3 linked regions of the Pelodiscus sinensis genome follow. Each later gene encodes a partner of the first gene's protein in a complex. Links are inferred from orthologs where the notes say so. Each region holds a gene or a part of one and is shown in the gene's direction. Other genes may lie near its edges. The genes, in order: DRC3, DRC5 and DRC9.

Evidence for each region.
Region 2: DRC3 (region 1) and DRC5 share a complex: the UniProt entries of both Homo sapiens proteins name them as parts of the nexin-dynein regulatory complex. The link is inferred for Pelodiscus sinensis from reciprocal best matches to the Homo sapiens genes DRC3 and DRC5.
Region 3: DRC3 (region 1) and DRC9 share a complex: the UniProt entries of both Homo sapiens proteins name them as parts of the nexin-dynein regulatory complex. The link is inferred for Pelodiscus sinensis from reciprocal best matches to the Homo sapiens genes DRC3 and DRC9.

The regions. Positions count from the first base shown.
Region 1 is NC_134726.1:33,168,249-33,171,993, reverse strand, and holds the start of DRC3 (dynein regulatory complex subunit 3), read left to right. Parts: upstream 1-1,394; 5' UTR 1,395-1,413; intron 1,414-1,444; exon of another isoform or gene 1,445-1,748; intron 1,749-2,418; exon of another isoform or gene 2,419-2,854; 5' UTR 2,855-2,945; intron 2,946-3,393; 5' UTR 3,394-3,404; coding exon 3,405-3,570; intron 3,571-3,745. Other genes in the region: TOM1L2 (TOM1-like protein 2), read right to left, coding at 845-896. UniProt on the Homo sapiens protein: Component of the nexin-dynein regulatory complex (N-DRC) a key regulator of ciliary/flagellar motility which maintains the alignment and integrity of the distal axoneme and regulates microtubule sliding in motile axonemes.
Region 2 is NC_134713.1:140,621,853-140,625,597, reverse strand, and holds the start of DRC5 (dynein regulatory complex subunit 5), read left to right. Parts: upstream 1-767; 5' UTR 768-906; intron 907-937; exon of another isoform or gene 938-1,066; intron 1,067-1,335; exon of another isoform or gene 1,336-1,417; intron 1,418-3,745. UniProt on the Homo sapiens protein: Component of the nexin-dynein regulatory complex (N-DRC) a key regulator of ciliary/flagellar motility which maintains the alignment and integrity of the distal axoneme and regulates microtubule sliding in motile axonemes.
Region 3 is NC_134720.1:50,767,799-50,771,543, forward strand, and holds the start of DRC9 (dynein regulatory complex protein 9), read left to right. Parts: upstream 1-1,514; 5' UTR 1,515-1,852; exon of another isoform or gene 1,853-1,856; intron 1,857-2,356; exon of another isoform or gene 2,357-2,540; intron 2,541-2,766; 5' UTR 2,767-2,941; intron 2,942-3,745. UniProt on the Homo sapiens protein: Component of the nexin-dynein regulatory complex (N-DRC), a key regulator of ciliary/flagellar motility which maintains the alignment and integrity of the distal axoneme and regulates microtubule sliding in motile axonemes.

The DNA.
Region 1 (3,745 bases):
ACTGGTGCTAGTCCTGCAGCTGTCACTGGAAACACCGTAGGAGAAAAGGGATTTCAGCAGGATTTTGTTTCTGAAGTAGTGCACCCTCATCTTACAAGCCAGGCCCAGGGGGCAGCCGTGGGGAACACAGGCCACTGCAATAAATATAGATCACGAGCACCCCAGCACTCACCTCCACAGAAGCTCTGCAGCCCTACCAGGCCATACCCCTCCCATCTCCCAACCAGCTCTCACCTCAGGATGCCAGACCCCCAAGATCCCATCAGGGATTAGGACCCCTAACGCACCCTTTTCTGGGGTGGCACTCCCAACTCCACCAAGCCTAACCCCTACTGGGGTTCTGCTTTTTCAGATCTAGTCCCTCCCCAGCTCTGCCACTGGAATGACTCCCTCGTCCTCCCAGCTCTATCCCCCTGGGCTTTGCCCCCTCCTTCCCTCCAGCCTCTGTTCCCCTGCCCCCCACCCCAGCCTGGCTCTGCCCCCTTTGCACCGCCTCACCCAGGCTCTGCCCCCCCTCCCCAGCCTGGCTCTGCCCCCTTTGCCCCCCCCAGCCTGGCTCTGCCCCCCCCCCGCCTGGCTCTGCCCCCTTTGCACCGCCTCACCCAGGCTCTGCCCCCCCCCAGCCTGGCTCTGCCCCCTTTGCACCGCCTCACCCAGGCTCTGCCCCCCCCCCAGCCTGGCTCTGCCCGCCCCCCCCCCCAGCCTGGCTCTGCCCCCTTGGCCCCCCCCAGCCTGGCTCTGCCCCCTTGGCCCCCCCTTCGCCCCCCACACACTCTGGCTGGCTTTGTCCCGAGGCTCCCTCCCTCCTCCCCAGGCCCGCCCATGCCCCATGCCCCCCCCTCACCCAAGCTCTGCCCCACCGGGGTGCTGAACGGATTCCCCAGCAGAAACTCCATCTTGGGATGACAACAAACAGCCGGTCCGGCCCGGCCTGGCCTTTTCGATCCAGCCCTGCGGCCTCCTCCCCGCTCTGACCGACACCCTCACTGACCAATCAGGGACTCCGCCACCGTCAACAGCCCGCCCACTGAGCTCCACTGGTCAGGAAGCCCACCTCCCTCGATCGCATTGGAGACTGAGCATGCCAATCACTGTCGGTCCTGCCTTCCTGTCCTCTCCTCCAATCACCACCCTCGCTCCCCGTATTGAGTGACACATGAGGGGCAGGAATCCCCTCTACCGACACACTCACCATTGGACAACGCCCCATCAATTGCCCAATTCTATTGGGCAATGGCCACACTCGTCAGCTGAAGTTCCAGCCTCCACTAGCTGCAGAGGCTGACTCTAATTGGTCTAAACTGCTGCTTCGCGTTTTGATTGGCGGAGGAGCTTTAGACTCAGTTTTACAAGTCACCACCAAACTGAGCTGCGGTTGGAAGATGCGGCCTGTCACGTGACAGAGAGCGCGCGGTGGGGGGTTGCGATCACGTGACTCTGCTTAGCAACAGCCCCTGTTTCCTTAGCAGCGAGCGCTAGTGCCCGCGGCGAGGGGCGAGGTGGCGGGTCCCGTGGGTGTCCGAGTGTCTCTGCAGCTGCGTGTGGGGCTGGATGTCCGGGTGCCACGGGGAGTGCGTGGGGGCCTTCGCCAGCCTCTGCGTCCTCCACCGGCTCGGCACCGTGGGCTTTGCGTGGCCGGGCCTGTGGTTGGCCGCCTGGGCCTGCGGCCGGCTGGCGAGCGGGCTGGGCGGCCGGCTGAGCTTCTGGGGGGGAGCAGTGGCTGGAGGGTTGCGTGGAATTCTGGGCAGGTAGTTGTGGGGCAGGCTGGGCGCGCAGATGGATAGGTGGCTGTGGGGCAGGCTGGATGGGCAGATGGATAGGTGGTTGTGGGGCAGGCTGGATGGGCAGGTAGTTGTGGGGCAGGCTGGGCGCGCAGATGGATAGGTGGCTGTGGGGCTGGCTGGGCGCGCAGATGGATAGGTGGTTGTGGGGCAGGCTGGATGGGCAGGTAGTTGTGGGGTAGGCTGGGCGGGCAGATGGATAGGTGGCTGTGGGGCAGGTTGGATGGGCAGATGGATAGGTGGCTGTGGGGCTGGCTGGGCGCGCAGTTGGATAGGTGGTTGTGGGGCAGGCTGGATGGGCAGGTAGTTGTGGGGTAGGCTGGGCGGGCAGATGGGCTGGTAGTTGTGGGGTAGGCTGGGCAGGTAGTTGTGGGGCTGGCTGGGCGCGCAGATGGATAGGTGGTTGTGGGGCAGGCTGGATGGGCAGATGGATAGGTGGTTGTGGGGCAGGTGGCTGTGGGGCAGGCTGGATGGGCAGATGGATAGGTGGCTGTGGGGCAGGTTGGATGGGCAGATGGATAGGTGGTTGTGGGGCAGGTTGGATGGGCAGATGGATAGGTGGTTGTGGGGCAGGTTGGATGGGCAGATGGATAGGTGGCTGTGGGGCTGGCTGGGCGCGCAGATGGATAGGTGGTTGTGGGGCAGGTTGGATGGGCAGATGGATAGGTGGCTGTGGGGCTGGCTGGGCGCGCAGATGGATAGGTGGCTGTGGGGCTGGCTGGGCGCGCAGATGGATAGGTGGCTGTGGGGCAGGCTGGATGGGCAGGTAGTTGTGGGGTAGGCTGGGCGGGCAGATGGGCTGGTAGTTGTGGGGTAGGCTGGGCAGGTAGTTGAGGGGCTGGATGGGCAGGCAGATGGATAAGTGGCTGTGGGGCAGGCTGCACCAGTAGATGGGCAGGAGCTGTGGGGCAAGCTGGGCGAGTGGCAGCCTGAATGGATAGGTGGACAAGTAGCTGTGTGACAGGCAGGGCAATGAGTGAATGGATGGTTGTTCAGCAGAATGGGGAGCAACTCGGCAGATGGCTATACTGCAAGCTAGTCTCGCTAATGTGTACATTTCCCTCCACAAACAGTCTGAGTGATGCCAGCATTTGCCACTGCATCAGATTGTCAATGAAAGTTTAGAACCCTGTTCCTGGTAATTCTCACATGCACATGTACCTGGTACGTCTAGTCTTTATCAGGAGGTGAAATTCACCCCATTGAGAAAGCTCAACATAGAGGCTTGTACGTACTCTGCACTAGGGAAAATTTCACCCCTAGATCTTTGTAGTGAGATGGGTGTTGAAAGTTCTGGCAACTGCTCGTTGTTTATGGGAAGAGACAGTCCCTTTCACTCACTTCCTCTCATTGTGCCCAATGCTGCAATTCTGCATGGACATTTCTCCTTAAATTTCAATGCAGGTTTTCTATGTACATGATATGAGGACCACGCATTTGGCAATCTTTTTGCTCTGCTCTGGGTAGCTGTTTAGGAAAGTTTAATAACTCTGAGTTCCATAGTGCAGGCCTATGCTCTTTGAATATCCCACTGTACTATTGTTTCTCTGTATACTGCGTGCATTTCACTGGAAAAGGTAATTGTGAGATATTGTTTGTTCTGCTCTTGAAGGCCTATTTCGCATGAAAATGAGTCGGTTATATGATAGCATAGAGCCAAATGTGATTGATGAAAAGATGCTTCAAAAAGCTGTGGAAGAGCAAGGCCCCCAAGAGGAATTAGGGCAGCTTGCCAAAAGGGAAGGCATTGATTATAAAGATGTTTTAGAGCTACAGCTTGATTTTAGAAGTAAGTATCCGATTTTTTTCAAATTAAACTATAATTGTATTTTTAAGGAGGGATGTAAAATCCCAGTTAATCGGTTACACACTAGGCTTAACCAGTTAACTGATTAAGCACAGGATCGTAGTGCGGGATCACACTGATTGGCCCCCTGGCTGGCAGCAAGGCCGCTGGCTGCCCC
Region 2 (3,745 bases), on another chromosome or scaffold:
AAACTTGCCAACTGTCTGCACTGGCTGCTTGAATTTCCGCAAAAGCACTGATTTCCTACTGTAAGAAATCAGTGCTTCTTGCGGAAATACAATGCTGCTCCCATTCAGACAAAAGTCCCTTTTGTGCAAAAGGGCCAGTGTAGACAGCTCAGATTTGTTTTCCACAAAAAAGCCCCGATCGCAAAAATGGTGATCGGGGCTCTTTTGCAAAAAAGCCTGTCTAGATTGGCCACGGACACTTTTCCGCAAAAAGTGCTATTGCGGAAAAGCGTCCGTGCCAATCTAGACACTCTGTTCCAAAAATGCTTTTAACGGAAAACTTTTCCGTTAAAAGCATTTCCGGAAAATCATGCCAGTCTAGACGTAGCCTTTGGGTTGCCCCTGCTCCAGGTTTTCCTAGGATCTTCCCTTTTTGAAGGTAGTTGTCCCAGGAAGAATGCCAGGGAACTCCCAGGCGCTGGCTGTTGACCAGTGTATGGGGGACAGGATCAGCTCATGTCCCAGTTTTTTGTAGCCTCAGAGGTGACAACCCTATAAATAATACTCAGTGGACACCTATGCAGGGAGCCACACGAGGGGCTGCATTGCTCTGTCCCGGGACGCTGCAAGCCCGGCGGGCCTGTGGATACAGCGGAGGGCCGAGCTAGGCTGTGCCGCCGCCCGCGCAGCCGCTGAGCAGACCCGTGCCCGGTGCTGGGCCGGGCCGGGACACGGGTGGGGGCGGCTCTGTCACCTGTCGCACCATAAGCCCCCCCCCCTTCCCAGCACTGCGGCACCGACTCGCTTCCGGCCTCGGCATCCCTCCCCCGCCCCGCTCTTGACAACGGGCCGCTTCCTTAGCAACCGCGGCCGGGGCCTGCCTGCCGGACCGGGCGGGGCAGCGGGAGGTGGCGCCCGCGGGAGACGGTGAGGGGCTGGGGCTGGCGGGGAGGGAGGGGGCGGGGAGAGACGGGCAGCGTCTGTAGCTTATTCTGCCCCGCGTCCCAGGAGCTAGAGTTGGGCAGGGGCCCTCGGATGGGTGCGCGGGCGCAACGCCTCTGCCTGGAGTGAATTCCCTGAAGCCCAGGTGCGTCTTGAGGGGAACCAGGGACGCTTGGGGCTGCCTGGCCCTCTCCCCGCTCCCACTCTCCCTCTCAGCCAGCTGAACAGCCCCTTGCAGGGGAAACTTGAGTTTCTTCTCCTGTCCTGGGTTCTACACTCACTTATTAGGGAAATCCGGGGGCTTTGAGTTGCCAGCTCCTGGGACAGGGACTTGCCTGCCTTTGTCTGGAGCTCACTGCCAGATGCTTATAAGATCCGTTATAACCTTGCCATTCTGTTACTTCACAAACTCAGCACTTGTCATTTAAAGACACAGCAACTGCTCTCATCTCAACTTTCAGCGACTGTCCCCTGGAAGAGGCTGTGCTGCAGAGAGGTGTATTTATTAAGACTTCATTTCTTTTACAAAATATACAACAGCCTACTTGCATGTTACCCTTAGTAACCAGTACTAACTTATGCTTTCTTTAAGTATGGTGTCTTTACATTGTGTTTGTCTACTCTTTAATTTGCAACATTTACTAACCAGGCCTGGACCTTCCTGACATTAGTGGGGATGTAAAAAAGTGCAACTATTTAAAGGGTTAACTGATAAGCACCAGCATATCAGTTTGTGTTACAAGTTACATGCTGGCTCCCTGGAAGTGGGACGGGCAGGGGCTGCTGGCCCCGCTCCCAGGGAGCCAGATTTTTTACGGGCTCTGCAGTATAAAAGTTATACTGCAGAGCCTGCAGCAAAGGGAGCTGGCAGTCACCACATAACCTGCAGCCAAGCCTCCCTTAGAGCAGGGTCAGCAGCCCCGGCTGGTCCTGCTCCTGGGGAGCCAGCTTCACCCTACCCTGCAGTATAAAAGCTATACTGCAGAGCCTGCAGGGTGTGTAACCATGTAACTGCTAGGATTTTTAGTGGTTATACAGTTACATTTTTAAACGATTTTTTACATCCCTAGTAATTAGTACAAATTAGTGGGATTCTGTTGTAAATTGCAACTCTTAATACCATGCAGATGGCTCACTGTAAGAATTTAGTAAAGGAGAATAGTTTTTAAAATCACTTGGTTTAAAAATCATTTCTGCCTTTGCTTACTTGCCAAAATCTGCATTGAGTCCCTGAGTGTCTTTTTTCCTCTGTTGGAACTGATGATATCACTAACTCCTAAAGTAGCATTTTTCAGCTTCTGATGTTAGTAACAGTATCTGCAGTTATAGAGCAACAGAACTGAAGGGCTAAAGTCAGATCTTGGTGGATAGAAAGCCCTTCATTTCACCTTTAAGGATCCTGACTTTTACAGTATAGAAAGAAATGCCAGAAAGTCATTAGTGAGGAGAAGGAATCATGTTCTGGTTTGTTAAAGCAAAGGCCAGGGAATTTAGAAATGAGTTCTAAATTCTTGTATAACTCTTGGAAGTCACTTCCCATCTCTACCCCATGTAAAATCAAGAAATTATTTTGCCTACCTAAATGGGGGATTAAATTAACTGACTGTGAAGTACCTGTACATTGAAATCCTTGAATGGAAGGAGCTAAAGAGGAGCAAAGTATTATTTTAATTAATTATTAAAATTAAGTGACCAATTAATTTTTTACTGGGGTTCTAAGAGATCAACTTGATGAAGAGAAGAAAGGATAAAGTCTCTTCTAGTTCAGGATGTTGCTAGAGCTAGACTTGGCTTGGTTGAGCAAGCACTGGTGTTTTTGGAAATGGGTTGGATATTCTCTTTACCTCTCTTTTGACTCCATACATCTGAGTATTCCCATTTTGGATATCACCTTTCCCACAGTTACGGCCGCATAAAATTCCCATTCAAATATTGGCAAGACAATGCCAGCCACTGCTGATTGGCAAGTGTTGTCACAAGTAGTGGTTAACTTTCTTGAGGTGTTACTTCAGAAATACAATTATCCCCATCACTGAGGAGTGTGTGATATGTTGGTGATGACTCAGAGCAGTCTAAATGAAAGGCAATATAGAAGACAGGATAATTTTGTCTGTAGCATAGTTCATAGTACTGTTGACATAAATAGCCATGTTAGCAAATGGATGGCAAAGCTAGTTCTGCCAGATCTGAACTTGACAACTATTCTCCAACATGATCATAGCTAGCACAGTTTTTGTGCCTGGTATATATGGGCATGCATGTGAGTGTTTAAAAATCAAGAGACACATTATCCTTACAGAAGTCAACAACGTAGCTGCTTAATACAAATGTAACATACATTGGCAAAAATGGCTCATGTCCTCAGTCAGGCAGAGTCATCCTGATGGGTTCCTGACAGGTCCTCTAATCCATCAATGATGATAAACTTTTGGCTGTGTACATGCGTGTGCCCCCTTGTCTAATGCATTAATCATGCACAATTAATCAATATGACAAACTCTGAGAGAGCCCCCAGAGACCACAAATCAGATAAAGATAAAAAGCACCTGAGTAGGTTTATTGTCAAGCAAGGTACAAAATAGTTGTCAGCGAATGGACTCACCGCTGCGCCACTATACATATGTACACCATGACAATCGACTAACACCCAACTAAACTCTCTGGATTCTAATGTGCCCTGTCCCGTGTGGTCAGCTGACCACTTGTTTTGTACAAACAAATACCAAACAAACAAGTTACACATCAAGTTACACAGTGGAGAGAGATAAATAGCACATCAAGTTACACATCACTCCTGATGTATCAGGTTGCCACCCTCTGTTAG
Region 3 (3,745 bases), on another chromosome or scaffold:
ACTGAGCTGGGCCTAGGGGAAGGGCTGCTCCAGCCATAGCAGATCTTGGTGCAGTGGCTGAGTCTGGGCCTAGCCTTTCCAGTTCGAAGGAAAGGAAGGGGTGATCTGGGGCAGGGACACTGGCTGCATTTGGGCTGCGTCTCCCGAGGCTGGAAGGGAAAGTTCTCCTCTGGCTAGCAGGTCCCCACCTTGGCTAGATTACTTGAGCTCCTGCAGAGCCTAGCTGGGCAAGCTGCACAGCCACACAGCTTACACAGATCTTAGTCCACAATAGGGATTACTCAAATGAATGTGTAACTGCTGAAATTTCCAGTGGTTACATAGCAGGGGATGGGGCAGGTGGCTTTTCTGCAGCTGGTGTACATGGGGAGTTGGCGAGCTTCACCTGTTCCCTCTCCACTCTGCTGCTGCCTCTGATACAGAAGCAGCAGCGAAGGTGAGGAGAGAGGGTTGCATGTAACCGTGCACAGTAACCAATGAGCATGGGCTCATTGGTTAACAATGTACACAGTTACACTTTCACACCCCTAGTGCACAACCCCTTTTTGGGTCATGAAGGAACTCAACTATTCCAGCACTGTAAAATTTAAGTACATTACATCATGAAGTTCATGCTTTTTAAAATCCCATGACAATAAAATTGACCATGAATCTGAAACTGTCCTATCCATAACCAAACTGTAATGCAATTGATTGCATATGCAGTCTGCATCCACGAACAAGTAACTTGCAATTGTAGCTATCATTAGATGGCAGCCAACTTCTACCAACTCTTGACAGAAAGGGCTGGTTAACCATGTGTGGCAGCATGGGATAGTAGGAATTTAGACTGTCCCACAACATACTGATCCGAACACAACTGTGCAGCATAACAAGATTTTATAGGGGACAGATCTTTGGGATGGGAATAGCAATCAGTGCCAAGTACATCACAACAGAGGGTGAACACCCGGCTCTACTTAAGGCAGCCCACTCTGCAGGAGCCGAGGAGAGGATTTGCGATCCCCGGCCAACATGACAGCAAAGGACCAAGGAAGTGTTCAGAGCCCGTCGCTCACCTCCCAGACATGGCGTCGTCCTGAAGTCCTGCTCCCAGCAGGCCTGAGAGAGAAGCACGAAGATTTCAGCCGCCGCACTAGGGAGCCGGGCACCCCACGGCCGCAGCAGGCCCTGCCCCCCCTCCGCAGCGCCCGGCACGTCGCCGGGGGACCCGCAGCCTCCACAGGGCCGCAGCCTCCGGTGCTCCCCGCTAACCCCGGCCGGCAACGGGGGAGCCCAGCTCGGCACGGGCCGGGCTACGTTCGCCAGGCCGGGCCCCCCCACCCCGGGGGCTGAAGAGCCAGGGACCCCGTGGGGCTGTGGGAGCCGGCTCAGGCCGGGGCCTAGCACCATCCGCCGCGCATCGGCGCCATCCCGCCGCCTGCCCCCGCCACACGCGCCCCCTGCGCAGCCCGGGCCCCGCCGCACCTGCCCCGCCCCACGGCGACGGGAGAACCCCCCTGAACCCACCTCGGGACCTCCGCTCCCCGGACTCACCCCCGCGGCTCCGACCCAAGATGGCGGCGAAAGGGAGAGCGGCCACCAAGCATGCCGGGATATGGCATCGCAAGGGCCCTTGGGTCGCCCGCAATGACTGCCTGAGTAGAAAACGCGCCCGCGGACGGGTGAATAAAACCCAGCCGCGGCCCCACCCTCCCTCTCTGTCCCCCGCGCCCTTTGTGTGGGCACCTCCCCTGCGAGGTCGTGGTTCAGGGGTTGTGCCCGACAGGCACCCACGTAGGCAGTGTGACTGGAAGGTCCCCCTTGAGCTTGGTAGTTGCCATGGAGACCAGCTCTGTCCGGCCTGCGGCCTGTGCGTGAGTCCCCTCAGTGTCACTGATAATAGACCCGGGGGGGGGGGGGGGAGGGAGCGACCTGCCCAGTGCGCCCCCCCCGGTGGATAGCGGGGGGCCCTGGGTCCGAGCGCAGCTAGGGAGCAGGGCAAAGCCCCTTGGGGAGAGGTGTCCCATTGCCCCCCCCCCCCGTGAAGGGAGCATCAGGGGCCCAGCCCTGCCCCCCCTCCTGTGGCGCGCCCCTGGGGGCCGCCTGTCTCCCGCACAGGGGCTGGGGGAGGGACACACCCGGGCGGGGGCCACAGGACTGCCCCCCCCCCGGGGAGGGTTAAAGCCCAACCCGCCATGAGAAAGGGGCCGTGGCCCGGGGCCGTGGCGAGGGGGGCCACGGCCCCAAGTAGGGACGTGAAGGATCCGTTCATCGAAGGGTCACGTGGCCTCCTGACTTCTAGCCGGTTACTCCTCTTGATAGTCCCCGGGGGCGGGGCCGGCCGCCAGTGCGCCCTGGCCCCACTCCCAAGGAGCTCCCCCCCCCCCCCCCACACCATGCTGCTGCCTCGGATACAGATGCAGCAGCACAGGGCGCCAGGTAGGAGCTGTTCCCTGAGAGGAGCCAGTTTAAAAGTCATCTCCCCTGGCTGCCTGTCACTGCTGCTGCCCCTGCTTGACACACGCAGCAGTGCGGGGTGGCAGCAACCCCCGTCTAGGGTGAGGCCGTCTGAGCTCCTGGAACTGAGCCAGGCTGCTTGCCTGCCTGGTGCCTAACACACTTTAAATGCAGAGTCGCAGCAGGGGAAGGTCCTGGAGCAGGACGGAGCTGGGTTGCTGGCCAGCCTGCTAAACAATTTACTGGCAGGGTGGGGGGAATTGCGTATAGTCTTTAGCATTAACCTATAAGCTTCTGGTTATATCAATTACACTGTTACATCCCTAGTACAAACCAGTGTGATCACACAAGCTCTGTGTGCGCCAAGAGGACTCTGCTTGGGTGTTGTGCCCACAACCTTTCTGCTGTATTTTGGCCATTTTTTGGGCGGTGAGTGCTTAGGAGAAGACTATCTTTCTATGCACCTGGCAGCCCCTGTGGCTTCTTCCATGCCACTGTAACAGTAAGTAACTTTAAAATTTACCTTTAATCCCTCATTTAGGCCTGGGTTGAGGATTTGGGCTTCATTGGAACAAACACATGTTTAAGTGATTTTCTGAAGAGGAGTGCACTAAGCATGCACTTAACTGCTTGGCAGAATCAGGGCCTTGTTGCTGATGCCTGTCCATGCAGCTAAGGCCACTGGAGAATTAGGGTAAATTTTTAAAAAGTGCCTTAGGGTATGTCTACACAGCAGCATTACAAAGAGGGCATCTACACTGCAAGTCATTACTTTGGAATAATGTCAGGCTGGAGGATTTCTTACTCCAATTCCTGTAACCTTCATATCACGCTTAAAATTAAGAGAAGTCAAAGGAAGAGTGAAGATTTCCTGCTGCGTAGACAGTGCCAAAAGCTGAATTATGTATGCAATTGCTGTAGCTCAAGTTGCGTAGCTTAATTCAACTTTTGCCCTCAGTGACTTAGCAGCTTAAACTCTATTTTCAAAAGTGACATTAGCTGAAACTTGGGCTTCTAAGTAACTAATTCACTCTTTAAAATAGGTTTTAGACTCCCAAGTAGCTCACATGCTTTTAAAAAATTTAACTGCCTCTGTGATAATCCCCTTACTTCTGAAGGCTGCAGATTTAATCTGGAAAGTCTCAGGGCCCGATGCAGTAAAGTATTTGAACACCTTTAGCACCTAACAAGATCTAGACATTTTTTTAAAAGCACCGGAGGAACTGTTTCAGGCAAGGTGAAAATGTGATGTAGACTTTTTGGTCAGGTTTGGCGGTCATGTTCACTGGGCTGTTCCCACAGAGAG